Rattus norvegicus: one gene and its partners. The protein of the gene in region 2 purifies or fractionates together with the protein of the main gene of each other region. This does not show direct contact. Links are inferred from orthologs where the notes say so. Each region holds a gene or a part of one and is shown on either strand. Other genes may lie near its edges. The genes, in order: Ap1s1, Ap1b1, Ap1m2 and Ap1g2.

Evidence for each region.
Region 1: the proteins of Ap1b1 (region 2) and Ap1s1 fractionate together in Homo sapiens (co-fractionation; 6 studies listed by BioGRID and IntAct, with this or other methods). This does not show direct contact. The link is inferred for Rattus norvegicus from reciprocal best matches to the Homo sapiens genes AP1B1 and AP1S1.
Region 3: the proteins of Ap1b1 (region 2) and Ap1m2 purify together in Homo sapiens (affinity purification with mass spectrometry; 3 studies listed by BioGRID and IntAct, counting the BioPlex papers as one, with this or other methods). This does not show direct contact. The link is inferred for Rattus norvegicus from reciprocal best matches to the Homo sapiens genes AP1B1 and AP1M2.
Region 4: the proteins of Ap1b1 (region 2) and Ap1g2 fractionate together in Homo sapiens (co-fractionation; 3 studies listed by BioGRID and IntAct, with this or other methods). This does not show direct contact. The link is inferred for Rattus norvegicus from reciprocal best matches to the Homo sapiens genes AP1B1 and AP1G2.

Annotation. Positions count from the first base shown.
Region 1 is NC_086030.1:25,266,181-25,273,096, forward strand, and holds the end of Ap1s1 (adaptor-related protein complex 1, sigma 1 subunit), read left to right. Parts: coding exon 1-28; intron 29-3,650; coding exon 3,651-3,788; coding exon of another isoform or gene 3,789-3,935; exon of another isoform or gene 3,936-5,506; coding exon 5,507-5,554; 3' UTR 5,555-6,303; downstream 6,304-6,916. UniProt on the Homo sapiens protein: Subunit of clathrin-associated adaptor protein complex 1 that plays a role in protein sorting in the late-Golgi/trans-Golgi network (TGN) and/or endosomes.
Region 2 is NC_086032.1:84,090,414-84,097,896, forward strand, and holds the start of Ap1b1 (AP-1 complex subunit beta-1), read left to right. Parts: upstream 1-3,158; 5' UTR 3,159-3,293; exon of another isoform or gene 3,294-3,396; intron 3,397-7,483. UniProt on the Homo sapiens protein: Subunit of clathrin-associated adaptor protein complex 1 that plays a role in protein sorting in the late-Golgi/trans-Golgi network (TGN) and/or endosomes.
Region 3 is NC_086026.1:28,128,356-28,135,879, forward strand, and holds the start of Ap1m2 (AP-1 complex subunit mu-2), read right to left. Parts: upstream 4,288-7,524; 5' UTR 4,255-4,287; coding exon 4,213-4,254; intron 1,720-4,212; coding exon 1,563-1,719; intron 1,357-1,562; coding exon 1,289-1,356; intron 1-1,288. UniProt on the Homo sapiens protein: Subunit of clathrin-associated adaptor protein complex 1 that plays a role in protein sorting in the trans-Golgi network (TGN) and endosomes.
Region 4 is NC_086033.1:32,544,233-32,551,694, reverse strand, and holds the start of Ap1g2 (adaptor related protein complex 1 subunit gamma 2), read left to right. Parts: upstream 1-2,414; 5' UTR 2,415-2,468; intron 2,469-2,836; 5' UTR 2,837-2,837; coding exon 2,838-3,038; intron 3,039-3,510; coding exon 3,511-3,635; intron 3,636-3,775; coding exon 3,776-3,917; intron 3,918-4,021; coding exon 4,022-4,118; intron 4,119-4,292; coding exon 4,293-4,369; intron 4,370-4,495; coding exon 4,496-4,591; intron 4,592-5,091; coding exon 5,092-5,172; intron 5,173-5,337; coding exon 5,338-5,436; intron 5,437-5,586; coding exon 5,587-5,642; intron 5,643-5,795; coding exon 5,796-5,909; intron 5,910-6,056; coding exon 6,057-6,197; intron 6,198-6,276; coding exon 6,277-6,331; intron 6,332-6,405; coding exon 6,406-6,528; intron 6,529-7,041; coding exon of another isoform or gene 7,042-7,044; exon of another isoform or gene 7,045-7,121; coding exon 7,122-7,211; intron 7,212-7,286; coding exon 7,287-7,414; intron 7,415-7,462. Other genes in the region: Jph4 (junctophilin-4), read left to right, coding at 597-680.

The DNA of each region.
Region 1 (6,916 bases), on a different chromosome or scaffold from region 2:
AGAGCTCTTGGACAAGTACTTCGGCAGCGTGAGTCTCCCCAGGAGCCCCTGTCCCCATTGCCAAGTGATTCCACCTTCCTGCCCTGAAACTCTCAGTGGGGAGGTGGTGTCAGGGCACGAGGACTGTAATTAATCTTCCCTTTTAAGCTCTAAGCCTATTAGCTATGGCCCTTAATCAGCTTGGGGGTATGCCTCAGTCAGTAGCGCTCTGGCATGAGATGGAACCGGAGGGAGGAAAGGGAGAGTGGCATTGGGCAGAGGCAGAGACCAAGTGAGTGCATCCATATTTGTATTGAAAGGCCAGAGGACAAACTCATGTGTTGGTCTTCAGGTGCCCTCTCCTCCTTGGTGGAGTTTCCTTCCTTCCTTCCTTCCTTCCTTCCTTCCTTCCTTCCTCCCTTCCTTCCTTCCTTTCCTTCCCTTCCCTTCCGTTTCCTCCCCTTCCCTTCCTTCCTTCCTTCCTTCTTTTCTTCCTACCTTCCCTGTTTGTTTTCTTTCTTTCCTTCCCTCCTTCCTTCCTTTCTTCCTTTCTTTCTTTCCTTCCCTTCCCCTCTGTTTCCTTCCCTTCCCTCCCCCCCCCTCTTTCTTCCTTTCCTTCTTCTCTAGAGTCTCACTATAGGGGTTGTGGAGACGGCACAGTGGTTAAGAACTCTGACTGCTCTTGCACCAGAGGACAAGGAGCACCCACGAGGCAGCTCACAATCACCTGTAACTCCAGTTCCAGGAGCTCCCACCCCTCGCACAGACATATATACCAACAAAACAGCAATGCACATTAAAAAAAAATAATAAATTGCTATTGAGGATCTCGCTAGGTAGCTCTGGCTGGCCTAGAACTCGCTGTGTAGACCAGGCTGGGCTCCAGCTCCCAGTAGATCTGCCGGCCTCTGCCTTCTGAGTGATAGGATTGAAGGCGTGTGTCAAAGGCTCGTTTTATTTATTTTCTATGTATATGTGCGTGTGTCTGTCTAGGTTAGTGCATGTGAATTCGGTGCCTGCAGAGGTTAAAAAAGGAGAGGGTGTAGGCTTGCCTGGGGCTGGAGTAACAGGTGGCTGTGAGCCTCCCTTCCTGGGTATATGGAACTGGACTCAGGTCCTCAAGGACAGTAGGTCCTCGTAACTCCCGAGCCATCCCTCCAACCCCCGCCTTGGTTTGGTGTTTGCTTGTTTGCTTTGTGAGATGTTTGTTTGTTTTACTGCATTGTTCATTAGTTGAGGCAGGGTCTGGCACTGCCCTGGAACCCCTTGGTTCAGCCTGGGGAGCTTCATGTCTCCCCTCCCCCACACTGGGGTTACAATAAGCAACAATGTATCTAGCTTTTTCTACATGGGTTCCGGGGACCCAGCTCCTCGGGCACGAGGCAAGCACGCGGTACACACACATACATGCAGGGAAAACACTCGTGCATGTAAAAATAGATGATGACTCTAAAGGATTTTTTTCAAGGTGGTAACCCAGAGCCCCAACTTCCCATAGATTCAGAATGAACTTCTCTGATGTGTGATTGACAGAGGCTGCAGACCTTAGGTACAGAGTAGGCCTGCCTTCACAATGTGCAACACCGTCAATGATGTCTAAGGCCCGATCGGGTTCTACTCACAACTGTTGGTACCGGGGATTGAACACAGGGCCATGCTCCTGTTGTCGTACTTCCCTCTGCCATAGACTACACCCCCAGTGTTCTTTTTGTCCATTTTTTTTTATTTGTTTGTTTTTTCAAGACACGGGTTTCTCTGTAGCCCTGGCTGCTCTGGATCTCACTCTGTAGACCAGGCTGGCCTTGAACTCACAGTGATCTGGCTGCCTCTGCCTCCCGAGTGCTGGGATTAAAAGTGTGCACCACCACCTCCCAGTTCCGTTTTTGTTTTTAAGACGGTGTGTTTAAGCAAGTGTCTTAGCCACTGCTCTACGGCTGTGAAAGGCACCGTGACCAAGGCGACTGTCGTAAGAGAAAGTGTTTAACTGGGGGCTTGTTTTATAGTGTCAGAGGGTTAGTCCATTGTCATCCTGGGGGGAACACAGTGGTATGTGGGCAGGAGCTAGAACAGAAGCTGAGAGCTACATCCTGATCCATAAGTAGGTAGATAGGGAGGGAGGGACAGAGCGGGGGGAGGGAGACAGAGAGACTAACTGACTCTGGGTTTGGTATGAGCTTTTGAAACCTCAAAACCCACCCCTAGTGACACACCTCATCCAAAAAGGCCACACTTCCTAATCCTGCCAATCCTTTCAGACTGTCCACTCCCTGGTGACAAAGCATTGAAATAAATGAGCCTATGAGGGCCATTCTTATTTATTTATTTATTTATTTATTTATTTATTTATTTACAGCCTAAATGCTGCCCCAACCCAGAGTCCCTCCTCCCATCCCTCCTCCCCCCTCCTCTGAGAGGGTTGGGACCCCCTTGTTATCTCCCTACCCTGGCACTTCAAGTCTTTGCAGGATTAGGTGTATCCTCTCCCACTGAGGCCAGACAAGACAGACCTACTGGGGAAGCAGATTCCACAGTCAGGCTACAGCTTTAGGGAGAGCCTCTGCTCCAGTTATTGAGGGACCCACATCTCGGAGACTGAGCTGCACGTCTGCACACACGGGCCTCGGTCCAGCCTGCGTGTGCTCTTTGGTTGGTGGCTCAGTATCCGAGGGCTCCCTTTCAGTCAGGGCCTTCAGTCCTTCCCTCAGCTCTTCCAGAAGAGTCCTGACCTCTGTCCAGTGTTTAGCTGTGGGCCTCTGCATCTGTTTCAGTCAGCTGTTCTGAGGGCCATTCTTACTCACACCCGCCAAGCCAGCATTCAGCCAACCAGCTAAGGTGCATTCCCAGCCTGACTTAATCGACTGATTTTGTGACACTTCAGGTTGCACCTAGGCCTCAGGCATTGTTACTTTGTGTCTGACCACTGAGCTGTCCCCCCAGCCTTTTTTTTTTTTTTTTAACTTTTTATTTTGAGACAGGGTCTCACTATATTGTCCAAGCTGACCTCAAAGTCATTCCATAGTTCAGTTCTGCATCTCGTCTTCAAGAGCTAAGATGAGAAGCCTATACCACCCCACACGCCTTATGGGGTTCTCTGGTTTGCTCTTCATCAATCTGAGGAGTTGACGACGCATCATCTCCTTCTAAAGCGAGGGCCAGGGTGTTCTCTGCCCCAGAGTGCCTAGGTTAGAGGCTAACCCAGGGTGCGGCAGAAGCCATATTGGATATTTTAAGGCATTTTAAGAGGAAAGCAACAGCAACCACAGACTTCTAACTCCTGATCCAGAAGATGAGGCAGTGAAAGCAGGAGCAGGCATGGTGACCTCTGCCTGTAATCCTAGCACTGAGCCTGAGGCAGGAGGATTGGGAACTCAAGGGCAGCCTGGGGGAAAGGGCCAAAGCACTGTAGGCTGAGGCCCAGGAGGATCTAAGGCTCTCGGAAGGAACTCACTGTGGGGCAAAGGACCTGCTTCAGTTGGTAACGTGCTTGCCTTTCATGCCCAGAGCCCTGAGCCACATAATGGTGCCCCAGCATTTGAGAGGTGGAGGCAGGAGGATTGTTTGAGGACGGGTTCAGGGGCAATCTGGAGTACAGGAGACTGTCTAGGGGCGTGATGCAGGAGGGAGGCTGGGTGTTCCTGGTACTCAGCTCCGCCCTCTCCCCCTTCTCCCAGGTATGCGAGTTGGACATCATCTTCAACTTTGAGAAAGCGTACTTCATCCTGGATGAGTTTCTGATGGGCGGGGACGTCCAGGACACATCCAAGAAGAGTGTCCTCAAGGCTATCGAGCAGGCTGACCTGCTGCAGGAGGTACGAGCCAGGGACAGTGAGGAGGAGGAGGAGGAGGAGGACTACTGTGTCCGAGGGGATTCCCCACCCCTCGCACATCCTGCCCGGCGACGACAAGTGGGCCCCCCTCCCTGTGGCGTCTGGCCCCCATCACGCCCTGCTGTCTAAGTTGTCCTGAGTCCTGAACCCATGGAGCAGGAAAGAGGTGGGTGGGCCGGTTGCCCACCACAGTTGTCTCCTCTTTCATTCCAAGCTCTGGCCCTTCCTAAGACCCAAGATGACTGCCTTATTCTGGCTTAGTCTCTTTTGACTCGATGATTTTCATGATGATAAGGGTTGTTTAGAGAATTGGAGACTGGTTCATAGTAGATAAGCCTTTTCTTCCTTGATTTACATCTATCTGCCTGCCTGCCTATCTGTCTGTCTCCCTGTCCTCTATGTATCTGTCTGTCTTCTATGTATCTATGTATCTATCTATGTGTCTGTCTGTATATATTTCTCCCTCCTTCTCTGTCTGTCACTGCCTTTCTGTCTCTGATGGAGGCTGGGGCCCTGACCCCCTGCTTTGCACTTCTGTTTGTAACATGAGGGGGTCTGTGTATGTACATGTGGGGAAGAGGCCAGTGGCTGAAACCGGGCATCTCCCTCAGTTATCCTACCTTATTTTTCCAGAGTCTCCCATTCAAGCTGGAGCTCATCCATTCAGCCAGGCTGATTGGCCATTGAGCTTCAGGGATCTACCTGTCTCAACTCCCTCCCCACAAAGCACTTGAACTAGAGACCCAAACCTCCACTCCAGGCTTCTCTGGGGTTGCTGGGGATTTGAACTCGGGTCTCCATGCTTCCATGGCAGATCCGTGTCATATCATGACTGAGCAGCAGTCTCTCCAGCCCCGCCTAATCCTCCCCTTTAACAACATGTATGCACACACCCCCTTTGCTCAGGAACTAACATCGTGGGGACGTGGGGCTGCCTGGAGGGTGTCTGTTAGTTCTCCCTGCTGCCTGGTATCCCTACCCTCTCCTCATCCCTGCTTGTGCCCTCTGCTGTGCTACTGCTGAGCCATGGTGCAGGGTGATGAGTCACCAGGACTCTGCAGTGACAAGCAAGCCAGCGAGAGCTGGCTCCGAGGAGGGGAGAGGTGGGGTCCACGAGGGAGGTCAGCCTTGCAGGGGGAGAAACCGCAGAATGAAACTCGAGGTCACCCCACCCATGCAGCCTCCCTTCATCCCCTGTCACACACACATGCACACAGGCAGACGCGTGCGTGTCCCCTGGTTACTAGACACTAGTGACTCATCACTCTGAAGTCTACCTTTCCTCTCCTTAGGAGTCTGGCACCAATGGCTTACTGCCTTCCCTCTCTGAGAGGCACGGGCCAAGCATCCGCACTACCTACCCCTGGAAATCAGGGTTCCCCCTGCTCCTCCCGCCCCACCCAGCTTCATACCTCTAACCCATGGGTTCTGAAGCTGCTCACCTCCTCCCCCAGTTCCTAGCTTTAGACTCTGGGTGATGATGAACTTGGCCTCTTCTACCCTCCTTGCCACTGTGGGTGCTGGGAATGGTGTCCTGAGGCCCGTACCCCCTGAGGACTTGCAGTGCTCCAGCCTTGGGCTCATATCAGCTTCTCTCCCCCCACCCCTGTGTGTGTCTGCTCTTCCCCTGACTCCGATTCCGTCATCTCGCCCACCCTGTCTACCCTTCCTGGTGTCTGCGTCACCCCTGTCTGTCTCAGGAGGATGAGTCGCCGCGCAGTGTCCTGGAGGAGATGGGCCTGGCATAGCCCCGTCAGCCAGCGGGGGGCCCTGTGGAACCGGGGGAAGACAAGACAAGAGACAGCACTTGGGGCTGTTTCCTCTCACCTCTCCCCCAGACCCCTTCTCGTGGAGGGACCCGGCCGCTTTTCCTCGGCCACCTCACCTACTTAGAAGGAGCTGTGGCTCCAGCCCTACATACAAACATTCCCTCCCTCCAGGTCTTCCTCCCCCACCACCGTCCGTTCCCACTGAAGGCTTTAGGGGCTAGAAGGGAGGGGAATGTGACCGGATGGGGATGCCCAGTGGCTTTCATTCTCCTTCCTTTGAAGAAGCAATGGCAACCCCAGCCGTCCTTCGTCCTCCCTGTGTCCCGAATTGCTGTAAATATATAAATATGTCAGGTTAAAGGGAAAAGGTTTCCAGGGCTCTTTTCTCCCCTCTGCCCCCAAACCTACCTCCATCCCTCCCCAGAACCAGTCAGGGCAGCCTCTCTGCCTCGGAGGGAGGGGCTTTCTTCTCCTGGGCCCCACTTCCTCCTGGGCTCAGTGTCTAGCCAGAGCCAGGGGAGGAGCCACACAGTTAATGTTTTTCTAACCTTGCTACTTGGAGGGAAGGGAAGGTTGGGGAAGGACCTGCTTTCTGGGACACTGACCCTGTCCCCCTTCCTCCTCTCCACGTTATGGGTGTGGCAGGAGCCAAGCGGGTGGGGTGGGCCAAGTGGCTGCCTTTATTTCCTTTCTTCTGAAATAAAAGGAAAAAGTGTTTCTGGACTTGACTTGCCTCTGGCTTTGTTGGAGAAGACGGACATCCACCCTGAGGTCAAGGGCAGCTGCCTGCTAATGTCTTCCTGGGAGCTGGGTCATTGTTCTTGGGAAGAAAAACTAAAAATAGAAGATGCCCAGCTGAATGTCAGATAGACAACAGGTTTTGTCGTTTTGTTTTTTTGGAGGGTTTTTTTATTGTTTTGTTTTATGGGCTAGGATAATGTATGGCCTCGTGCAATGGAGGCAGAGACTACCAACCGAGCTACAAGCCCTCAGTTGTTTGGTCTTGAATTTTGAGACAGGTTTTGCAGCTCAGAGTGACCTGAATTCAGGGTTGTTCCTGCTGTCCCTGGGATATCCTGGGTTCAGGATGCTGGGAGATAAGCATGTGCCAACCATATCCCAACCCAACAGGTGCATTTCAAATTTCTTTACATTCTGAATCAGGGTCTCATGTGATCTAGGCTGACCTTAACCTCGATATGGATGGGAGGATAAACTTGAATTGTCTGATCTTCCTGCCTCTACTTCCAGAGATGCTGAGATCACAGGTGTGCAACAGCACATCCTGATGAATGAAAGCCTTCCTAAGTGCAGGGCAAGTACTGGCCCAACTGAGCCACG
Region 2 (7,483 bases):
GTTTCCTCCATCTCAGCCTATGAAGAAACCACATTCACTTCATTCAGAAGATTCACAAAAAAAAAAAAAAAAAAAAAAAAAAAAAAGGCTACCTGCTGCTGGAGGCCAATCCTTAGGAAGCAGGTCTGGGACCTCTGTTTCCTTGGAGATTTTTATTTTGAAACTGTCTCCTTATGTAGCCCAGGCTGGCTTGTAGCTGATGATCCTTCCGCCTCTGCCTCCCAAGTGCCAGGGTTACAGGTGTGCCCCCCACACCCACATTCTTGGGGTCTTTTACGTTTCCTCTCTACTATTACTTTGTCACTTAAACACGGACACTCTCCAGCCGGGTGATTTTAGGGCTTTTAAAATTGTTGTTGACCAATTCTTCTCTTTTCATTTCCCATTTTGTTTTCTCTATGATTGACAACTGCTGAATTTCTCATTAGAAATGTTTCCTCCGGACAGCTCAACAGGCAGCATGATATGTTCATATACAGTCATTCTAGATGTGCAGAAGAAGAAATACCTCAAGAAGACACAGCAGGAGGGCGGTCATCTGCAAGCCAAAGGGAGGTTCAGAAGAAACCACCTGAGTCTTGGCTTTAGATTTCTAGCCAGCAGAACTGTAAGAAAATAAATTTCTGTAACTGCAGCAAAAAGGTTTTCTTCCATTTTTAGTTAAAAAAAAAGGGGGGTTTAAAAATGGAATAAAGTCTGTGAACTGAGGCAAAGGTAATTAGAGTTTGGAGGCATCATAAAGAGGCAGAGTGAAGGCAGAATGGGGCCAGAGTCTGACCTTAGCAGGTGCAACTGTGCTTGTTAGCACACAACAGTGAGGGGAGGGCGGTTCTTGGGAATGGAGGGGAAAAGCTGTCTGAGACCCTTTGGGGGTGGGGGAGACTTGGGCTGAGGAAGTGGATGCAGTTGTGGGGGCAATGTGCAGATTTGTTGTTTCTCTTTCCTGGAATTGCTTTAAGCAAGACAGATAATCTTGGGAAACAGGCTCTCTCACATTCTTCTCTGGGCTGAGCAAGGTCAGCTGTAATCTCATACAAATCCTGTTTTTAAAACCAAGGCACTCAATCAAAGATACTTTACCAATGACAATTTCCGGGTGTTAATATTAGCCTATGTGTGTGTGTGAGTGCGTGAGTGCGTGCGTGCGTGTGTGTGAGTGTGTGTGCGTGTGTGTATACTTATACATACATACATACACACACACATATATACATACATATATATATATTTATATGATGTCATCACTGAGCACTGAGGGAAGCTGGGTGAAGGATACATGGAATTCTTTTTTTTTTTTTTTTTTTTCTTTTTTTCGGAGCTGGGGACCGAACCCAGGGCCTTGTGGTTGCTAGGCAAGCGCTCTACCACTGAGACAAATCCCCAACCCCATACATGGCATTTTTGCTGTTGTTTTGTTTGTTTTTGAGACAAGGTCTCACTATTGTAACTTTGGAAAATTTCTATGCAGACCAGCCTGGCTTTGAACATACAGAAATCTATCTGGCTATGTGGGATTATAGGCATGTACCACCAAGTCTGGCCCCTTTTTTTTAGATTTATTTGTTTTTTATTTGAGACAGGGTTTCTCTGTGTAGCCCTGACTGTCCTGAAACTTTCCCTGTAGACCAGGCTGGCCTCAAACTTTGAGATCCACCTGGGATTAAGGTGTACACCACTACCACCTGCATGATTTATTTATTTTATGTTCGTATGAACATATACCATGTGCATGTGTGGTCAGAGGAGGGCTTTAGGTCCGCTGGGACTGGAGTTACAGATGGCTGTGAGCTGCCGTGTGGGTGCTGGGAACCAAACCCAGTTGTCTGGAAGAGCAGCCAGTGTTCTTGACTGCTGAACCATCTCTTCAGCCCAGCATATGGGATTCTATTTTGTCCATTTTTAACAATTTGCAGTAACTCTGCAAAGGCGGGTAGATTTTTGCTTGGTTCTCAGTTTTCCAGGTCAACCAAGGTGACAGGGATTCGGTTGTTAGAGTAGGATGCACAATGCTCTGAGTTAGATTGCCAGCATTACATAAACCAGACATGGTAGTGCGTTACTGTGATCTGAACACTGGGACTGGCTTGGGTTACATAACAAGATCCTGTCTCAAAAACAATAACAAACACACAAATAATAAAATAAAAAAGTCAGACATATCACATCTAGGAGGATAACCAAGTGTTAAAAAGTGATTGTCTCGGGGCTGGGGATTTAGCTCAGTGGTAGAGCGCTTACCTAGGAATCGCAAGGCCCTGGGTTCGGTCCCCAGCTCCGAAAAAAAAAAAAACCAAAAAAAAAAAAAAAAAAAAAAAGTGATTGTCTCAGGAGCCTACCTACATGGGGTTTTTTTGGTCTTCTTTTCTCTTACTAACATATTTTTTCTCTGCAATGCAGATATTATTGGTTTAATAAAAATGTTAGAATAGAGGTTTTATAATGTCTTAAAGGGGATGAACACAAGTTATCTATTAGAAAGAGAAAATTAACAAGACCAAAGTCAGGAATGAAATGGCTGTGTCAGTTGAGGTCCCGGCCAAAGGGACTAGCTATACTCCCTTGCATGAAAATCTTTTTTTTTTTTTTTGAGCTGAGGACCGAACCCAGGGCCTTTTGCTTGCTAGGCAAGCGCTCTACCACTGAGCTAAATCCCCAACCCCCACTGAGCTAAATCCCCAACCCCGCATGAAAAGTCTTAGATGTAGCATATGTTTTGCCTCCTAGTACAATGAATTTTACCAAGGACAGCAGAAAAAGTCTAACTTTTTCCTAGCAGAAAGGCGCAGTCTGGCTGGCCTCTGATCAGATTTATAGCTCCGGTTTTGACTTTCCACTTTGATGTTGGCCTCAGTTTCCCCATCTGTAACTTAGAAAGAGTTGGACTTCCAAGAGTCTTCCAAGACCCTTTCGATCCCATGGTGCTTGAGAGGGAGCCTGAACAAGGATTTTGAGCAAGGACACCCCATATTGCCTTTGCCGCCTGGCGGGCCCAGGCCCTCAATCCTCACAAAGGCCGGCTCTGCCGAGGCTCCGCCCTTCCCACACAGGCTCCGCCCAACAGGTCTCCAGCCCCTCCCGCCGGGTTGCACCCTTGACCCCGCCCCCGGGGTGTGCGTCCACCGGAAGTTCCGCGCGCTGGCTGCTCACTTCCGCTCGGCAGGTGACAGCGGTGGGGCTTGGAGCGGCCGGCTGCTGCTGCTGCGACGCACCGGCGGAGAGGGAGGAGGAGGCTGCGGACATTTTGCTGCTGAAGCGAGCCGAGCCGCGGCACCAGGAGCCGTTTGGATTTGTGGGTGAGGAAAAAGGAAACCCAGCGAGATAGGTGGAAAACTGAAGGGGTTCGAGGTGAGGGGTCTGCGAGGTCAGAGGTCACGGAGAGGACGCTACGCTGGAGAGGTACGAGCTGCGAGTGGGCGAAAGTGAAAGGGCTGCGTGTTCATTCATTCACGGCGGCTTGGCGGCCCGGCGTCAACCGGTCATCTCAGGTCCGCAGTCCTGTTTGAAGAGGACGGCTGGAGAGACTCCTGGACTTAGGCCTCTCCTGCGCTCTGCTTTTCCCCTCCTTGGCCAACCTGAGGTTTCCTCGTTCAGGGCCTTATCTCTTGGCCACCGCCCCCAGAATGGGGCAAAAATCTAGAAATGGCCTTATGCCGCCAGCCCCTGGTCCTTTGGATCATCAGGGACACGTTGACAGAATGGAGACACTTGTACTAGTGCTAACACAACAGTGTCTGTCAGTGGTTATCCAGTGACTTCGAAGCTATGTGCTAAGCACTTTGTGTACTGAGCTCACAGCAGCCCCTGTAAGGTAGCTACCATTGCTTTACCCTTTACTCCTGAGGACACAGAGACACAGGAGGTTAAATCACACATGGAAGGTCATTCGAATAGTAGAGGCAAAGCCAGACTTCCTATGCAGGTCTCCAGAACCGTAAAAGCGAAGGGACAAAGGCACCTGGAGCTGGTTTGGGGTCTCAGAGTGCTTTCATATATTGTCGCCATGATATTGTTTGGATTGATGTCAGGATGCCGCCTTCTCTACTCTTGTCTGGTCTGATGTTCATGAGGAGCGTTTGGTTCACTTTCGTTAGGAGGCTGTCGGTCGCAGGTTGTTGCTGTCAGGGCAAGAGGCTGAAGGTTTTCCTGACTCTTGGGAACTATAAGACACCAAATGGGCTATTCATGACACTAATATTCAGACTTTCCCTTCATCCCGTTTGCGCTTTTTTTTTTTCCTTTTGCAGTAAAGAGGGGGACAACAGGACCTCTTAGGGGATCATTTGGTCCTCGGTTCAGAGGGGCTTTGACCTGTCAGGGTGCTGGGAATGAGTAGTCTGCCTGGGAGATGGGAAGGTCACTTGGTGGCTGAAGGGTGAGGTTCTCCTCCTTTGTAGACATTTCCTTGCTCGGCTTGCCTTAGTTTCCCTGACAGCAACACAAAAGAGACTTACAGTCTTCCTACTTCCTCTTGAGTGCAGGGAACTGTGATAAGCCTGTGAAGGTTTCCTTGTGCTTTTGAAAAAAGTCGCAAGCCAAAATGTTTAATTAATTACCTCTTCTTTTTTCCTTTATTGGATTTGTTTAAAATTTACATCTCAAATGTTATCCCTGTTCCAGGTTTCCCCTCCAGAAACCAGCTATCTCCCTCTGCTCCCCACCCCAACCCCCTTTTTTTTTTAAAGCCAGTCTCACTCTGGCCCAGTCTGGCCAGGATCTCGTTGTGTCTTGAATTCATAGCACCCCTCTTGTCTCAGTCTCCCAAGTTCTAGGATTGATTACAGAACTGAACTACCACACCCAGCTTTTCTGTCCTGTCCTGTCTGTCTGTCTGTCAGTCATGAGCTCAGTTCCATTGAATTCACAGAAACTTAATAGTGTCACCTTATCCTATCCTTCCAAGGGATAATTGAAGACAGAGCAACTCTTAGGGACATAAACAGAGCCCTGGCACTCTGTCCTGAATCCAGCCCACCAGACTCCTTTGCCTCTCTTAGGAACTGTCAAGAGGGCTTAGCTGATCCCAGAGAATCAGACTTTCAGTGTCTCTGTAGAGATCATCTGATGAGTGTGGGTTGACTGAAGCTTCACACCGGGTAGTTTGAGGGGCTCAGAGGGCCAGTGGAATGAGCACTCTGACTCCTGCCAGTCAGCTGCTGGCTCTAGCCCCAGGTCAGCAGCTTCCTAGCTGTGTGACCTGGATAACTCATTTCAACTGGGTTTCTAGCCTAATAAAATATGTAGATAAAGTGGTAGAGCACTTCCCTGGCGTTTGCAAAGCTGGTTCCTGTTGCCAGCATCAAGAGAAATAAGGGTTTTGGGGAGACATGGTGGTCCATGACTAACCCCAGCCAGCACTTGTGAAGCTGAGGTGGGAAGAGGCCCATGTGATTGATCTACATGGTGTGTTCCAACCATGGCTACATAAAAAGACCTTGTCTCGGAATAGTCATAAGAAGACACTGGGAGGCCTCCCGTCTGTAGGTGTTGCATGAGGATATCTTGCAGAGCATATTACTATTGACCTGAAGCCATGGTACCTGTTGGGGCCTGCGTCTGGAAAAGGCTGTCTGCCCCGTGAGGTTACTGCTTTCTTCTCCAGTTAGACCTTTAAATGCTTTGAATACCACTCCTGCTCTCCTCACTTCTCAAAAAGAGTTTGAGAACAGTTTATTGTGGGTCCAGCTGGGGCTGGGGCTGGACTTTTCATCTTCTCATGTCTGACTGCTCACTTCCCCCAAAGCCTGCAGCGCTGACAGGAAGCAGGCATGGTTTGGGTAGGCTTTATAGTCTGCTGTGCTTCAGACGGTTGAGGGGTACTTGGTCCTTGAAGGCACTTCTGTTTCTCAACAGGTCTTTTTTCCTAAGATATGCTGCTGAGATTTTCATAACCAGAAGGGATTTATTTGCTCCTTCCTTCCTTCCTTCCTTCCCTCCTTCCTTCCTTCCTTTCTTTCTTTCCTGATTTTTTTATCAGTTTACATAGAGAGAAAAAAAATACTGTAGGGAGAAAATTGGGGAAATTAAAAAAAAAATTACTACTTAGCTAGATTTCGTGGCGCATGATTTTAACTTAAGTTAATCCCAGTACTTGGGAGGCAGAAGCAAGCAGATCTGTGAGCTTGAAGCCAGCTTAGTCTACAGAATGAATTCCAGGACAGTCAGAGCTGCACAGAGAAACCCTGTCTCAAAAACCAAAACCAATAAATAAAAAAATATTAAAAAAAATCCTCCTTGGAAATCTGTCAGTGGTTCCTCCTCTCCCTCAGTGGAAGCTAACTTTTCAGCATAGCCTCCAAGCCTTCCAGGCTCTGACTTCTGCTGGTTCTCCATCTTCAGCTTCCCATTCTACTCCTTGGCCTTCTGGTCATATTAGACACTGCCACCTCTGCAAGCTGCTCCTGTGCTCCGTCTTCCATCTGTGCTCGTCCGTCTGCACAGCCCACTCCTGCTACTCTCGCCCGGGCTACTCTTATGGCCTCCTTTGCTGGACTGCTGCCTGGTGCTTGCCATTTGCTCATCATCCCCGTCTTGCAGAGGCCTGAGCTGGCTGCCCCTCTCGTGTCCTGTGGCAGTGATCACCGTGAATGTAATTGTCTGCCTGCTTGGCTGCCTTCTTAGTAAAGATCTCTTAATCCTTAGCAAGCATTGTCTGAACTGTGCGCCTTCAGCGTCTAGCGAGGTACATGGCGCACGGGCAATGTTTGAAAAGTGGGGAAAGATCAAATGGATGGATAGCCCATGGCGTCGTGAGGGTTCCGGGTGATGGTCTGTGCGTCCTCATGCCATCGCAGTGGGATAGGGGAAGTGTGGCTGTTAGAGGGACTTACGTGCTTCAAGCGTCCATTGCTGTTCCCAGTCAGCAGAGTGCCTGAGCCGAGTTCTGGGAGCAGGGAGATGGCAAACCTTCAGGAGTGTTGGCTGATGGTTACCGAAAGCGGGCTGGATTCCGCGTGTGCTGACCTGTTTTATCTTTGTTAACCTCTATTTCCAGGATGCATCCTGTTAGCTAGTGGGGCCAGAGCTTGACTGTGGTTCCAGGTTTGAGGTTCCCTTGTGTCTTCAACCTTGGGCTGGACCTCTAATAGGATGATCTCCAACTATTTTAAGGGTTAGTGTAGCTGGTTGACTACGGAAGGTCCAGAGTCCTCTAGTTAGGATACCATTGTCACTCTGATCTTCCCAGGTTCTGATCTGATCCTCTTAGTACATCGGAAGATGACAGAATTGAGAGGATGATAGAATGGGGAGGTCATACTTCAACATCTCTTATTTTACCTTCTGTATGTGTGTGTGCATGGTAAAAGACATCTCCCAGGGGGTTGGGGATTTAGCTCAGTGGTAGAGCGCTTGCCTAGGAAGCGCAAGGCCCTGGGTTCGATCCCCAGCTCCAAAAAAAAGAACCAAAAAAAAAAAAAAAAAAAAGACATCTCCCAGGACCTGGCGCTCTCCTTCTGCCACGGGAGCTCAGTTCCAGGGATTGCAC
Region 3 (7,524 bases), on a different chromosome or scaffold from region 2:
CCCAGCACCCACATAGCTGTTCAGAATCTCCTGCAGAAACTCCAGACCCAAGGAATCCAATGCCTTCTCTGGCTTCTGCAGGTACTATACACACACACACACACACACACACACACACACACACACACAAGAAAAAAATAAATAAAACTTTTGGTTTCGGTTGGGGATTTAGCTCAGCAGTAGAGCGCTTGCCTAGCAAACGCAAGGCCCTGGGTTCGGTCCCCAGCTCCAAAAAAAAGAAAAAAAAAAGAAAAAAGAAAAAGAAAAAGAAAAAAAACAAAACAAAAAAACTTTTGGTTTCCTCTGGCCTCCTTGGGCATGTGGTGCACAAACATACATTCAGGCACATTCATACACATAAATTGCAAAAAATTTTAAAATTATCTTGCTGCTGGGCACTGTGGTACATGTCTTAATTTCAGCACCTGGAAGTGAGTTCAGGGATAGCCTGGTTTCTACACCAAGTTCTAAGCCAGCCAGGACTACAAAGTGAGACACTGCCCACCAAAAAAAGAAAGAAAAATATCATTCATTCATATCTATCTATCTATCTATCTATCTATCTATCTATCTATCTATCTATCTATCCAGTGATTTTTCAACCTTCCTAATGCTACAACCCATTAATAAAGTTTCTCCTGTTGTGGTGACCCCAACCATAAAATTATTTCATCGCTACTTCATAACTGTAATTTTGCTACTGTTATGAATTGAACACAAACATCTGCTATGTGACCTCTGTGGGAGGGCCAGTCGACCCCCAGAGGGGTCGCAGCCCCCGGGTTGAGAAACACTGATTAAAGTGTTTCATGTATACCTGAAACCACAAATACATTTCTTCAAGTCTAGAATACTTCACACACATTCCCAAAGATTCCGACTTCTGGAGCACTTCCAGTGCCAAGCACACGGATGCACACCTGCATCTCCTGGGGAGGAAGACGTCCTCCCTCAGCATCTGAAGCTCGCTCTGCCTGAACCCCTCGGCTTAGCTCTGTTCACACCTCAAAGCCTCTTTGTCCACTATGTTCTATTGGGGACACTTTCTCTACAGTACTTCATTCTTTTCCTTCTCCCCTACTTACAATAGCACCCTGTAACGTTCCAGGCACAGAGGCAAGGGATTAGACCTGTATGTAGCTCAGCTGTGGGTGAGAGGTTGCGAGGAGGCTTTAATGGGCATGGTCAGAAGCCGGCATCTGACAGGGGCGAGCTTAACCAGCAGACAAGCAGACCAGCTAGCCAATGAGAGGCCAGACCAGCTAGCTAATGAGAGGCCAGGACCTACCTCCACAGTCTTGTACAGAAAGGAGTACACCAGAGAGGCATTGGCGTTCTTCAGTGTGGTGGCCACCACTGGTGCAGTAAGGTTAAGGAAAATGCGCCATTTTTGAGGGAGTGGAGTTACATGTCCCCTGTTATGCCCCCCGCCCCCACCCCATTTCTACTACCCCTTACCCCAGGCACAACCTGAGTTAAGGCACATGAACCGGGCAAATCCTGCTCTTAGGTCACCGCCCTCTGAATCAGGTTCCTGGCGCTCCTTCCCACAATGAGGATGCAGTAGAGATTGCTGTGTTTGATCCACAAGAAGTGCACTCGGCCGTGGCTCAGCAGCGGGGCCAGCATACCCTCCTCCTCCCGTTGCATAAGCAGAGGCATGAAGTGGTCAATCTCCGTCATGGGCACATCGCCTTTGTAGTTTCGGCTAATCAGAGGCTAAGGGGAGAGAGACAGGACTAAGTCACCACCAGCGCACAGACCTAGGGCCTTAGGATGTCTAATTCTCTTCTAACTTTCTTTTATGCCCCCCACACTGGCCTCTTTTGTTTTATGGAGGGGATGATACCTCAGGTAGCATAGGCTGCCCTTGACACCAGATGTCACAGAGGATGACCTTGAACTCTTTTTTTTTTTTTTTTTTTTTTTTGGTTCTTTTTTTTCCGGAGCTGGGGACCGAACCCAGGGCCTTGCGCTTCCTAGGTAAGCGCTCTACCACTGAGCTAAATCCCCAGCCCCGACCTTGAACTCTTGATCCCCCTGCTTCCATCCTGGCGAGAGCTAATGTTACAAACCCTCTAGGAGTAAATTACCTCCCCGACTGTCTTTCCTTTTCTGATTAATTTAGGCACCTTTTCTACGAAGCCCCAGCTGGTCTCAACTTCTCAATCCTCCTGCCTCGGTTTCTAGAGTGCTGGGGTCACAGTGTTTGTCACCATATCACACTCTGTGTGCAATTCAGTGAGGGGCCTAGCTAGGACTCTACCTCTGTACGCCTCGGTTTTCATGCCTGTTATGTAGGTACCTGACACCCACAGCTAAAAGTGTCCTGGGTGCATACTGAACACCATCAACATTCTGCCAGTACGTGTTATGCTGGGGATGGGCTTGGGGGGTAGAGGCGGAAGTACAAGGCCATCCTCGGCTACATAGTAAGTGCAAAGCCAACCTAAACTACATGAGGTTCTGACAAAAAAATAAATAAATGAAAAATAAGGAACATGGGCTCAGCAGTAGAGGACCATCCTACTGCGTATGAGGTCCTTCCGACATCAATCAGTGGACGTGCTGGGCCTTGTCTTTCTTACCAAGGGCCTGTCGTCAGAGTTAGCAGGGAAGCTTGAGGCAAAAGGATAGCAGGTCCAAAGCCTAGCAAAGCTCCAGAGTGAATCTGAAGCCAGCCTGGGGAATTCAACCAGATACCATTTCAAATTTAAACCGCACAGGAGGGACCGCAAGAGAACTCAGGGGTTCTCAGTGGTTGAAGGGTCTCGCTGCCGAGCCTGGTGGCCAGAGGTCCAAGCCACACACGTGGGGATAGGACAGAACAGACTCTCACACAGGCAGAGCAAATAAGTGTAATTTTTAAATAGTATGAGGAGGATTAAGATGTAATTTAGTTGGGCTGGAGGGATGGTTCAGTGGTTAAGATCACCAACTGCTCTTCCAGAGGTCCTGAGTTCAAATCCCAGCAACCACATGGTGGCACACAGTCATCTGTATTGGGATCTGGTGTGTCTACAGACAGTTAGGTATACATTAAATAAATAAATAAATAAATAAATAAATAAATAAATAAATAAATAAAATCTTTAAGACGTAATTTAGTGGCAGTATGCTGGCTTAGCTTGGGTTCCGCCCCCACCACTGAGGAGGAAGAGGAGGAAGAACCTTTCCTGAGGAATTCAGTGCCTGCCTCAGCCTTGAGGTAGGTGTCTTTGGGTCCATTTTCCAGACTGAAGAAGCTGAGGTTTAAAACTATGTCCACAAAAAGCTGAGAGGTGGACCTGAACCTCTTCCCCTCCTGGGCCGTTCTTGTTCAAGGTTATTTATTTCTTTGTCTTGCTATTGTAGCCCAGGCTGGCCTTGCCCTCCTGAGCTCAGGTCATCTCTCTGACTCAGCTTCCACAGTAGCTAGAGTGACAGGTGCATGGTAAAACACCTGGCCTCCTTGTCCTTCTTGGATCTTTTTACAGGCACTATTTTTTGTGTGTATGGAGTGTGTGCATGTGCGTGTGTGTCTGTGTCTGTGTGTTTGTGTGTGTCTGTGTGTCTGTGTGTTTGTGTGTGTCTGTGTGGGTGTGGTCAGAGGACAACTTTGTAGGTTGTCTCCATTCCCCTTTACTTGGGTTTGGGTCAGGTTACCAGACTTACACAGCCAGTGTCTGGGCTTGTTGAGCCTGTTTTGGTTTTGAGGCAGTGAGTGTCACGTAGCTCAGGCCCGATTCAAACTCCCTTGATTTCCTGATCCCTCTGCCTCCACCTCCCAAGAGCTGGAATTGGGACTGTTTATGCAGTGCACTGGGATCACACCTAGGTCTGTGTGCTAGGCCAGCTGGCTGACAACTGAGGCACACGACCTTGTGTCATTATGTTACAGGGATCTCGTTTTCATCTCTACTGCTGTCATTGTCACAGGAGAAGCGACAGTCGACTTGCAAGGATAGGGGTATGGCCTTCTACTCCAGAGTTACACTTGGCCCATTTATTGAACTCCGGAGTTGCAGAAGGGCTGTGCTCACTGGTTCAGGGCGCTCAGATGGTGGATATCTTTCTTATTCTCATTTTTACAAACAGGAGAAATGACGCTCAGAGAGGTGAAACCCCTTGCCACAGATGCCGGCTGAAGAGGGCGGGTCCCCAGCTCCCGGTCCTGTGCCCTGGGCCCTCGTGCTCGCCCGTCGAACCACGATCCCTTGCCCTCTGCCTCACCTTGCCCTTGACGTCCAGAATGAAGACTGCCGAGGCCGACATGGTGGCGCCCGGTGAAGCTAGGAGGCGAGAGCGAGCTGCAGAGGCGGCAGCGCTGCTGCTTCCTTCTTCCTGCGGAAGCGCCTTCGCCCAGGTGAGCCGCCAGGTGAGCGCGTCTTAAAGGGGAGGCCGCCAGGTGAATGCGTCTTAAAGGGGAGGCCGCCAGGTGAGCGGCACGGTCGGCAGCAAATGCCAAGGCTGCTCCAAGAGCTAGGAAAGGCAGAACAGAGGTGCGACTGCAGCCCTAACCCACGTTTCTTTGGGGATCAGGAATGCCTGGGTGGATGGTGAAACTCCAGGACATTTATCCATTGATCCTTCAACTCACCCACCGCCCCCCTCGCCCACCGTACGTCTATTCATTCATCCTCTTATCCGCCCACCCCGTCTCCACCCACACTCCCATTCCAGTCAGCTATCCATCCCTCACCCCCTCCCACATACATATACACATTCACATCAACATCTACTAACCCACCCACGCATCCACCCACCCACCAGGGCATCCGTCTGTTCATGTGTCTGTATAGCTTGTTCAATCACCTACACCTACAGTATCAACAGGACTTTGCCTGTTTTCTATGTGTGACCCGGTGCCCACCACTAGGTGTTCAGTAATGTAATCCTTCTCACACTATACATTTTACTACTTTCTGTTATAGTTGTTGTTGTTGTTATTGATTGACTGGTTTGGGTTTTTTTTTTTTTTCTTCAAAACAGGGTTTCCCTGTGTATCCGTAGCTGTCCTGGAACTCACTCTGTAGACCAGGCTGGCTGCCTGTGTCTGCTGGGATTAAAGGCGCCTGTGTAATTTTTTGTTTGTTTGTTTTTGCTTATCGTTTGTGTTGTGTTGTGTTGTTAATTCTAGAAGAGTTCATTATGTGGTCCAGACCGGCACAGCCTTACAAGTTCTGTGATTACAGTCATGAGCCACCAGGCCTGACTTTGTTTTTTGTTTTCTAATTTCATTCATTTTTTTTAAAGCCCAAGCTATCCTTAAATTCAAGATCGTTCTGTCTCTACTTTCCCGTTGCTGGGATACCGTTTTGCGGAGGGTAGTGTGTGTGTTGGGGGGAACAACAAAAAAACCAAAACCACTCCAAACCTTAACCAAGCCTAAGCATAGCGCTCCGCTGTGGAAGAAACGTTTCCTGAGAGGCCGCCAGGGGGCGACAAAGCCCGCTTGGGCATCGTGGCTGCCGCCGACCTTTATCAGGCCCAGAGTCCAGATGGAGCTATGAGAATCGCCCACGGGAATTGTCTTAAAGCAGAGATGGGGCCTGTATGAAGAGCTTACGAGCCGAGCACAGTCAGTCTGTCTCAGGACCACACAGCCAGGTTAACAAGCCACTCTTCCATTATTCTGGTTGTTTTTACGGCCCTAGGGGGATTGAATGCCCACCGTTGCCAGTGCCAGGCTAGCACTGTGCCCCTGGTTATACCCCCAGCCCTTAATGTTTTTGACCGGGGCCTCCATGTATAGGACAGACTAACCTTAAATTCCCAACTCTTCCACCTAACCCTTACTAGTAGTTGTGTAATCTTCACGCTTGTCATAAATACCTTCCAAGAAGAAACGCTACAGATAACCACACCTACACCCTTTTTAAAGACCCGTCTAGCCCAAGCCTTCTACAGCACAGGAGCATCTTGAACTCCTGAACGGTGGAACCCAGGACTTTGGGTATGCTAGGCAAACTCTACCCGCTAAACTAAGCCATCATTTTCTGGATAACCGTTTGAGGGAACCAGAGAGCTGCTGATAGCTTCGCTTGGCAAGATAAGGAGCCCGAAGGTTAGCTCCAAGAGGGTACAGTCATCCAACGGTTTTGTTTGTCTGCTTTTGTTATTAGTGTTATTATATAGTTCCAGACAGCCTGGAAACCATTATCTGCCTCGGTGCTGGGGAATCACAGGAATCCACAATTATGCTCCGTTTTTGTGGTGCTGGGGCTAGAACCCAAGCAATCTTGCGTGCTAGGCCCATGATCTACCAACTGAGCTCCAGCCCCAAGCTTTTAGCTTGGCTCCACTCACAAGTTCATAGGAGAGGGATCCTTCCTGATTATCTGCAGCCTGGGCTGGGCTCACCCCTGTTGGGGGTGGGGTGGGCAGATCCCTGGGACTTTTAATCCCAGCACTCTCCAGGTAGAAGCAGGCAGATCTCTATAGTCAGTTCCAGGTCAGCCAGGGCTGACTGTCGCCTTGACTAAAAACCAAACACAACTCCAAATAAGGTGGGGGGTAGGGGTGGTCGGTGAAATGGCTCAAAGGTGCTTCCTTCTGCACCTGGGTCTAGTCTCCAGGTGCTCCATGACCAATGGGAGAGACCGACTCCTGGAGGTCATCCTCTGACCTCTACACGTACACACGAAAAATAAATTAAGTATCATTTTAAAGAAAGGTGGCTGGCTCCTGAGGAGGGAGTGTGTCTGGAGTTGTCCTCGGGCCTCTGGACTTGAATGTGCACAGCACAAAACCAGCAAAACTCTCTTGGGACCTGAGATCCATTCACATGGTAAATGGAACCCAGAAGCCTGGGCCCGGCGCCCTGGAATCTGAAACTCAAGGCCTATTTAGCTAAAAAATTCATGAGACCAAGAGCCTTAGTAGGGGCAGAGAACAGACTAGCACTGTCTTGTCCCAGCCAGCCCAGCCCAGTCTGGCCTAGCCCAACCCACTCTGGCTCCATAGCTGCCACCAATCCCCAGAAGTGGTGGCTTTGTCCCAGTTCGTCCTAAATATCTTGTCCTTGCCCTTCCCCTCCCCATGTCCCACCTCAGCTTCTAATTATCAGCCTCCTTCCTTCTCCTCCCTCTAAATCTGTCTAACTCACTGATCACCCATGGCCCACCCTCCCTCTCACACCTATAGCTTCCAAACCATCAGTCAGATTCCTGCTGACCACAAGGGCTCTACACTTAGTGATTTCCCTCCTCTTCCTGGCTCTGACCCCTCATTGCAAAACACTCACCAAATTTGCTCTCTTTGTGTCAGTCTTTCTCTGTGCAGAGGTCCCTCTGACTTCCCATTTTATGTCATGGACACAGACCTTCCCCTGGGTATTCCTGTGCCCTGCAGGCACCTACCACAATTGGCTTGTAACCCTGGTGTGTGTTTGTTTGTTTGTTTGTTTGTTTGAGGCAGGAATTTTTTTGTATTGCCTTGGCTACTCATTCAGTAGACCAGGCTGGCCTTGAATTCAGAGATCCACCTGCTTCTGCCTCCCATGTGCTGGGGTTAAAGGTGTGCACCACCACCACCCAGCTTGTT
Region 4 (7,462 bases), on a different chromosome or scaffold from region 2:
CTTCCATATCATTTCCAGCCCCAGTTTCCTGCTCCACCCCCACCCCCACCTCCAGACTTTCTCTCTTTGGTGCCCAGAAATAGGAAAAAATTGTTCCTCCCAACCCTCACTCTCCCTCCCTCTCCTGGGGGTTAGGGGGAGGCTGTGCAGACAGAAAATCGAGAGAGGTGGAGAGTTTCTCCAGAACCCTCTGCTCTGATTGGATTCCAGGCCTTCTCCCATCTCCTAGCAACCACATCCTCCCTCACCCCTTCCTCCCTCTGCCTTACTGCAGTACTGGCTGCTGCTGCCAATGTCTGCTGCTAAGGCCAGGCACCTTCTGCCTTGCCCACATGATACGCTGAGGGATGGGGAGAGCGGTGGTGGTGGTGGTGGGTGGAGGCAGTGCCTTCTATCTTCAGAGTGTGAGGGCAGGGCTCTGCAGAGAAGCGAGGCTCTTCACAGTCTGAAATCAGCTCCTCTACTCTTACCTGTGTGTGTGTGTGGGGGGGGGGGGGGTCTGGGACCTTTCGGCTTTGCCAATAAAGCCAGGGCAGGGAGGTGGGACCTACACTTGCCTTCCCGGACTGACTTCACTTCGCCCTCTGTCTCTCTAGGGAGCTGCCAACCCCCTGGTGGTAGGAGCTGTGGCCTTGCTGGATCTCAGCCTGGCGTTCCTGTTCTCCCAGCTCCTCACCTGAGGCAACATCCTGGCTTCCTCCGGCTTGGTTGCCTGCCTCTGCACCCACTCTGACCTTTGACCTGCCTTCTCTTCTCTCCTCCTCCACCTACCTGTGTTTTCCCCTTTCCTTTCTCCCAGGCCCCTTTCTTTTTGTCTCTTGCTTCTTCCTTCCCTCTATTCTTTGAGATGGTCTCATTTATTCTGGACCTGTCTCTGGTCTTCCTGGTTTTCTTTCCCACCCCAACCCCTCTTTCTCTAGATTGTTTACATATGAAGGGCTGTTCTCTCTCAGAGTTGCTCTCTCCTCTGAGATACACAAATCTAAGTCAGACCATTGCCCCCCATGTCCTCCCCAACCTTTTATTTGAATCAAAACTTCACCAAGGGTAGGGGTTTGGTGTCCTAAGGAATCTCCTGGAATCTGAGTGGAAGGGAGAAAGAGAACACTTATGAAGTGACTGAGTGGCCAGACTAGGCACTGGCTGAGCCACTTGGGGCTCACTGGCCCCCATGGAAAGCTTCAGGGAGAGTACCCTCCACTCTTACCTCCCAGAACCTACCTAAGTTCTTGCCTAATTCAATCCTTCCCTGAGGGAGAAAAGGGGAGCGAACAACAGGAAGCTCCCCATGCTCCCTCTCCTGTCCTCCTCAGCCAGTCCCTCTCCCAACCCCCAAGGATGGCACGCCAAGCCAAGAGCAATGGGCAAAGCAACGAAAACCATCTGGTACACCAAGCCCGCCCCTCTCAGACTCTGCCACTCACCTCTCTACCCTTCTCCGCCCCCTGAAAATTTATTTGGTTGGTCTGGACTCACTTGTGGCCTTTGATTAAATTCCTAAGGGGCCTGAAGAAGACATTTCTGCCCAGGGTCAGAGGCACTGCAGCAAGCAGGGACCCCACTCCAGCTCTGGCGGTTGTGGGGAGCACACGGAAGACGAGGACTGAAGGGCAGCAAATGCTGCCACAAGTCTAGTTCCCAAGCCCTCACATAGACTCCTGTGAGGTGGGAAAATAAAGGGGATCTGAGGAACTCGCTCGCTGTCTCCCACACTTTCAGGCAGGGCAGAGGTGGGTGTCATCCCCAGATGAGAGGTGGGTGAAGAGCCTGTCTGAGATACGCTTGATCCATCGTCACTAGCTTATCCTCTGGGGACAGAAAGCTCTACAAGAGGGAACTGTAGAAGCCCGGGGGACTCTCCTTCCCTGCATGAGGCAGAGGCAAGCGGCCTGCCAATCCCCTCCTCAAGGAACGGCCTTGCCTGGGAATGCCCACCACACAACCTTCTTATTTTTCTAGTCAACCTCTGTTTACTCCCTGGCCTGCCTTCCTCCCGCCTTCCTTCCTTCCTTCCTTCTCGATCTTTACTTCTGATTTCTATTTCATGGAATTTGGGATTGACGTTATACAACAGTGCCGACAACATCAAGTCTTGCAGGAAAAAAAAAATACAAAGAAATTTAACAAAAAAAAGTATATTAATAAAAAAGTTCCAAAAAGGGGGGGACTGTCATCTCCTTTGGGGTGCAATGGCTTCTGACCCAAGTGTCACCTGATGGGGCGGATGAAAAATGAGGCCCCTGGGGGAGCCATAGTCCTGTAACAATTCTAGGTTCCTTTATCAAAGTACCAAAGAGGCCAGAGGTCAGAAATCTCAAGTAGGCTCAGCAAGGAGGCCCTAGAGGGGCGGGTCCCGTGGTAGAGGCGGGGAAGAGGGAAGGGCCCGAGCAGCGCACCAACCCCAGCTCTGTCCCATACCAGGAAGTCCTGGGTAGGGGGTAGAAGAGCAAAGCTGACACCGGAGCCAGGTGAGCTTGGGACTGGGGAGCCTTCTGTGGGAATGGGGGCGAGAAATCTCGCAAAGGCAATAGCGCAGAAAACCAGGAGAAAAACTGGAGAAGAGAATCTGGCCGGGGAAGGAGAGTGAGAAATAGACTGATCTGAAGCGCAGGCTCAGTAGAAACAGGCACAGGGTGGAGCAAGGACGCATGCGTAGTGGGGATGTCCTTGCGAGGCGGGAGAGTGGCTCTCGGGTCCAGGTGGGAGGTAAAAGTGGACACGGTTTTAGGTCGGCGGTGGAACGCAATCCTTTAGAGATCTTGGCTCAGGGCAATTCTGTCCAACCGGCTAGAACGTGTTAAATTAAGCCTTTCCAACTCCCGGGCTCTGTCCCCAGGATGGTGCCTTCGTTGAAACTTCAGGACCTAATCGAAGAGATTCGTGGGGCCAAGACGCAGGCCCAGGAACGGGAGGTGATCCAGAAGGAGTGCGCCCAAATTCGGGCCTCCTTCCGCGATGGGGATCCCCTGCAGAGACATCGCCAGCTAGCCAAACTTCTCTACGTCCATATGTTGGGCTACCCCGCCCACTTTGGACAGGTACTGGCCTGGGATGGCCCCAAATTTTGAGGAAGATGGCCATTGCGCCCCTTTGTATTTGTACCCCCCGCTGTGTTTTTTTTCCGCCAGATTTTTTGTTTCCGAAACAGGTTCTGTATAGTCCCGATTGACCTAGAACTCGAGAAAACCCTGCCTCCGTTTCAGTGTGGGGGTTTTCAGGCATGCCTCACCCTGCCCAGTTAAATCCTTTGGCTTCTGAGCCTTTTATCCATCACCCTACTAGTGATTTCTTGGCCAGCCCCGTTCAGCACCTCCCCATCCTCTTCCAGCTTCTACTCCTACACAGGTCCCTGAAACCACCCTGCTGTCATCTGGATCAACACTTAAGCCTCTGGTTACAGAGAGATGAAATATGATTCCTCACGTTAATCTGGCCTAAAGGAGGTTGTAGCGGGGAAGTTAGTGCCTGTGGTTTCACCCTGCTCCTCCTGGTCTGCCTCATTCCCTATAGATGGAGTGCCTGAAACTGATCGCCTCCCCCAGATTCACAGACAAGAGGGTGGGCTACCTTGGGGCCATGCTCCTATTGGATGAGAGACACGATGCCCATCTGCTCATTACCAACAGCATCAAGAAGTGAGAGGGTCCCGGGGCCCTTGAAATCAGGGCGCTGGGAGAGTGGGAACCGCAAAATCCCAGAGGGGCTGCCTGCTATCGGTACTGCGCCGACGAACTGGTTTGCTCAGATTTGACTGACCATCCTTCCAACCTTACAGTGACCTGAGCCAAGGGATTCAGCCAGTTCAAGGCCTGGCCCTGTGTACTCTGAGTACCATGGGCTCTGCTGAGATGTGCCGGGACCTAGCCACCGAGGTGGAAAAGCTGTTTCAGCAACCCAGCCCCTATGTGCGTAAGAAGGTGAGATGTGGGCGTTTGCCTCTCCAGAACGTGCTCTCAGTCTGCCGTGGAAGAGGCATGGCCTCTAACGTGGTGGCCCTTTCTGAGGCCCTCGACCTCTGCAGGCTATCTTGGCTGCAGTGCACATGATCCGGAAGGACCCCGAGCTCTCCAACATCTTCCTCCCACCCTGTACCAAACTGCTTCGTGAGCGCCATCATGGTAAGGGTCCAGGGATCTCCACTGTCCACTTCTGGTCTGGCTATGAATAGATGACGTGAAAAGCAAATCAGGAAGAGCAGCTCATCGGATAAGGGCGGTGCACACACACAAACACACGCGTAGTAGACTGTCCCATGGCCTGGCCCACCATTCACTGCCCCGCCCTGACCCCAGGCACCCTGCTGGGCACCATCACGCTGATCACGGAGCTCTGTGAAAGAAACCCTGCAGCCCTCAGACACTTTCGCAAGGTGGGCTAGTGAAGGGGCAGGCCGTGGGGCAGGCAGAGGTGGATGGTGGGTGCTCAACTGGGACTGATGGTTGAGAGGAGACAGACAGGCAGAACTCAGACAAGGCTGGATGTGCCCGTCTTCCAGGTAGTGCCCCAGCTGGTACAGATCCTCCGGACTCTGGTGACGACAGGATACTCCACAGAGCACAGTATCTCTGGAGTCAGCGACCCCTTCTTGCAGGTAGGCTGAGCTTTACTTGCCGTATTCCCAGAACAGAGAAGGCTTCTCAGGAAGACCTTGGCCAGTGGTCACTTCCCGTTTGGTCACAGTCCATGTCTTGAATAAGAAGGTAGTGAACTCAGGATTGCCCTAGTTGTCCTAAGACTGGGGAAATGAAAGGTGGCTACCAGAAAGTCCAGTTTGGTAACCATTAAAAGGCCTATTCCAAAGCCCAGTATGGTGGCCGAGGCAGGTGGATTAAATGAGGCCCATGAGTGTGTAGTGGGCCGGGTTCACAGAGTGAGTTCCAGGACAGCCAGGGCTACAGAGAGAGAGAAAAAAACCCTTCGGTTTTAAACTCCCCCAACTCTATGTAACTCTGACCTCCTCCCAGCTCATCTAAGGGAGCTGTAGAGGTGAGAAAGAGTTGGGCCCCTTGCAGTATTTGTTGTCTACACTGTTAGGTCTTTTTGCCTCGGGCCCACGACCCTACCCTGTGAACCACTCTGATCCAATCTCAGGTCCAGATACTCCGCCTACTTCGGATCCTCGGACGGAACCATGAAGAAAGCAGCGAGACCATGAACGACTTGCTGGCCCAGGTGGGAGGCACGCCTTAGGCCTTGTGGTTTCTTAGGGTCCATCAGGCCTGCATACTCCCCAGAGGACCATTCACCACGAAGAGGCCTTTCTGTCCCCGCCCAACCGACGAAGTCCATGCATTCACTGGAACCCTGTACAGATGCACCTCTCCCCCATCTGCACAGGTAGCCACCAACACAGACACCAGCCGAAATGCAGGCAACGCAGTCCTGTTGGAGACAGTACTGACCATCATGGCCATCCACTCTGCAGCTGGCCTCCGGGTACCACTACACAGTCATGTGCTCTTCTGCTGTGGCCCCACCTACTCAGCTAGTCCTGGTCCCTGGCTTTTCCCTAACCCCCATCATGGAGGAGATCCCACTGAACAAGTGGCTTCTTCCCTTACTGTCTCCACCTTCTTCCTCCCACAGGTTCTAGCTGTTAACATTCTCGGTCGTTTCTTGCTCAACAATGACAAGAATATCAGGTAACAGCCAGTATGGGGCTAGATTGTACCACTATCCACCTGGCCCTCTGCATTCCTCCCTTCGGATCCACCTAACCCTTAGGTATCCTGGAGGCAACACGGGTTATCAAGGCTGGTACGCCCATGTGATGTGGCCTCTCTTACCCTGACCAGGTATGTAGCTCTGACATCGTTGCTGCAGCTGGTACAGTCTGACCACAGTGCTGTGCAACGTCACCGGTCCACCGTGGTAGAGTGTCTACAGGAAAAGGACGCCTCCCTTAGCAGGTAAGCAGAAGGAGAAGGGAGAAGGGGACAGGGCAGAGGACACAGCACCCAGTGGCCGAAACTCAAACCAGCTCAAGAGCATCTGGGAATAGGGAAGCCAGAACAGGGTGAGCTCAGCCATCTGCACGGATGCCTTTCTCTCGCCAGGCGGGCCCTGGAGCTGAGCCTGGCCCTGGTGAATAGCTCCAATGTGCGAGCTATGATGCAGGAGCTGCAGGCCTTTCTGGAGTCCTGCCCCCCTGATCTTCGGGCTGACTGTGCCTCAGGCATTCTGTTGGCTGCAGAGAGGTAAGTGACATGTGACTGGGAGTCAGAGGGTGTGGCCTGGGAAGGGACAGTGTCAGCGCTGATGAGCCACATCCCCTAGGTTTGCTCCCAGCAAGCGGTGGCACATAGACACCATTCTGCACGTGCTGACCACGGTAAGAGGCGGGTAGTCAGGGAATTGGGCAGCAGTCAGCAGAGCCCTGACTTGGCTGCATCCACCCCTCTCCAGGCAGGCACCCATGTGAGGGATGATGCAGTGGCCAACTTGACCCAGCTGATTGGGGAGGCCGAGGAGCTGCATACCTACTCCGTGCGCCGCCTCTACAGTGCGTTAGCAGAGGATATCTCCCAGGTATCATTCCTGTCTTCCCAGGTCCGGCTGACCAGCCTTCTCAATTCTAGAAATTGAATGCTTTCCCCCACAAGCATAGAAAATTGAACCAAGGACCAAGCCTACCTTTTATTTAAGCTTCTGTCCTGCCCCTGGTGACTACTGGCTACATCTCCAGATAAATAATTGTAATCCCTCTAAGCTCCATGTCCTCAACGTTCTAGAAATGCCTACCTCCCAGGCTGTCTTCGAGACCAAAAGTTGGCACATAGAGTAGTCACTTCTATTATTACTTTCAGTGCCAAGTGGATTAACGGTGACAGCCTAAGATACCTATAACTCCCTCTGTCAACTTGAGTAGAGTAGGTAGAAACCATCTCTGTTTTCTTCTCAGGCCTCCGTCCTGTGATCACGCTATGTAGTTTTGTTGCTTGCCCACCAGAGGGCAGTAGTAGCCAAAAATGCTAAGATGGAGCCTATTAAACTTAAAAGTCTCCTCCCTACCCTGCCAACCCCACCTTCTTTGCATTGCAGTAAAGGGGATTTGTTGGGTCTAGAGGAGAGGACCCCACCCCGCACCCAACCAGCCCCTCAGTGTCTCATCTCCCATCCAGCAACCACTGGTTCAGGTGGCGGCCTGGTGTATTGGCGAGTATGGAGACCTCCTGCTGGAAGGTAACTGTGAGGAGACGGAGCCTTTTCAGGTGAGACCTGAGGTGTGAGCGAGACCCTGGGGAGGATTCATCAGGACAGACATGACGTGTTGCCCACACCTGAAGGTGGAAGAAGAGGACGTGCTGGCACTACTGGAGAAGGTGCTCCAGTCCCACATGTCCCTGCCAGCCACTCGAGGCTATGCTATCACGGCTCTCATGAAACTCAGCACCCGGCTCCAGGGAGACAACAAGTAAGAAGGGGCTCCTGTCCCATGAGAGATGTCCTTTTGCCATGCCTA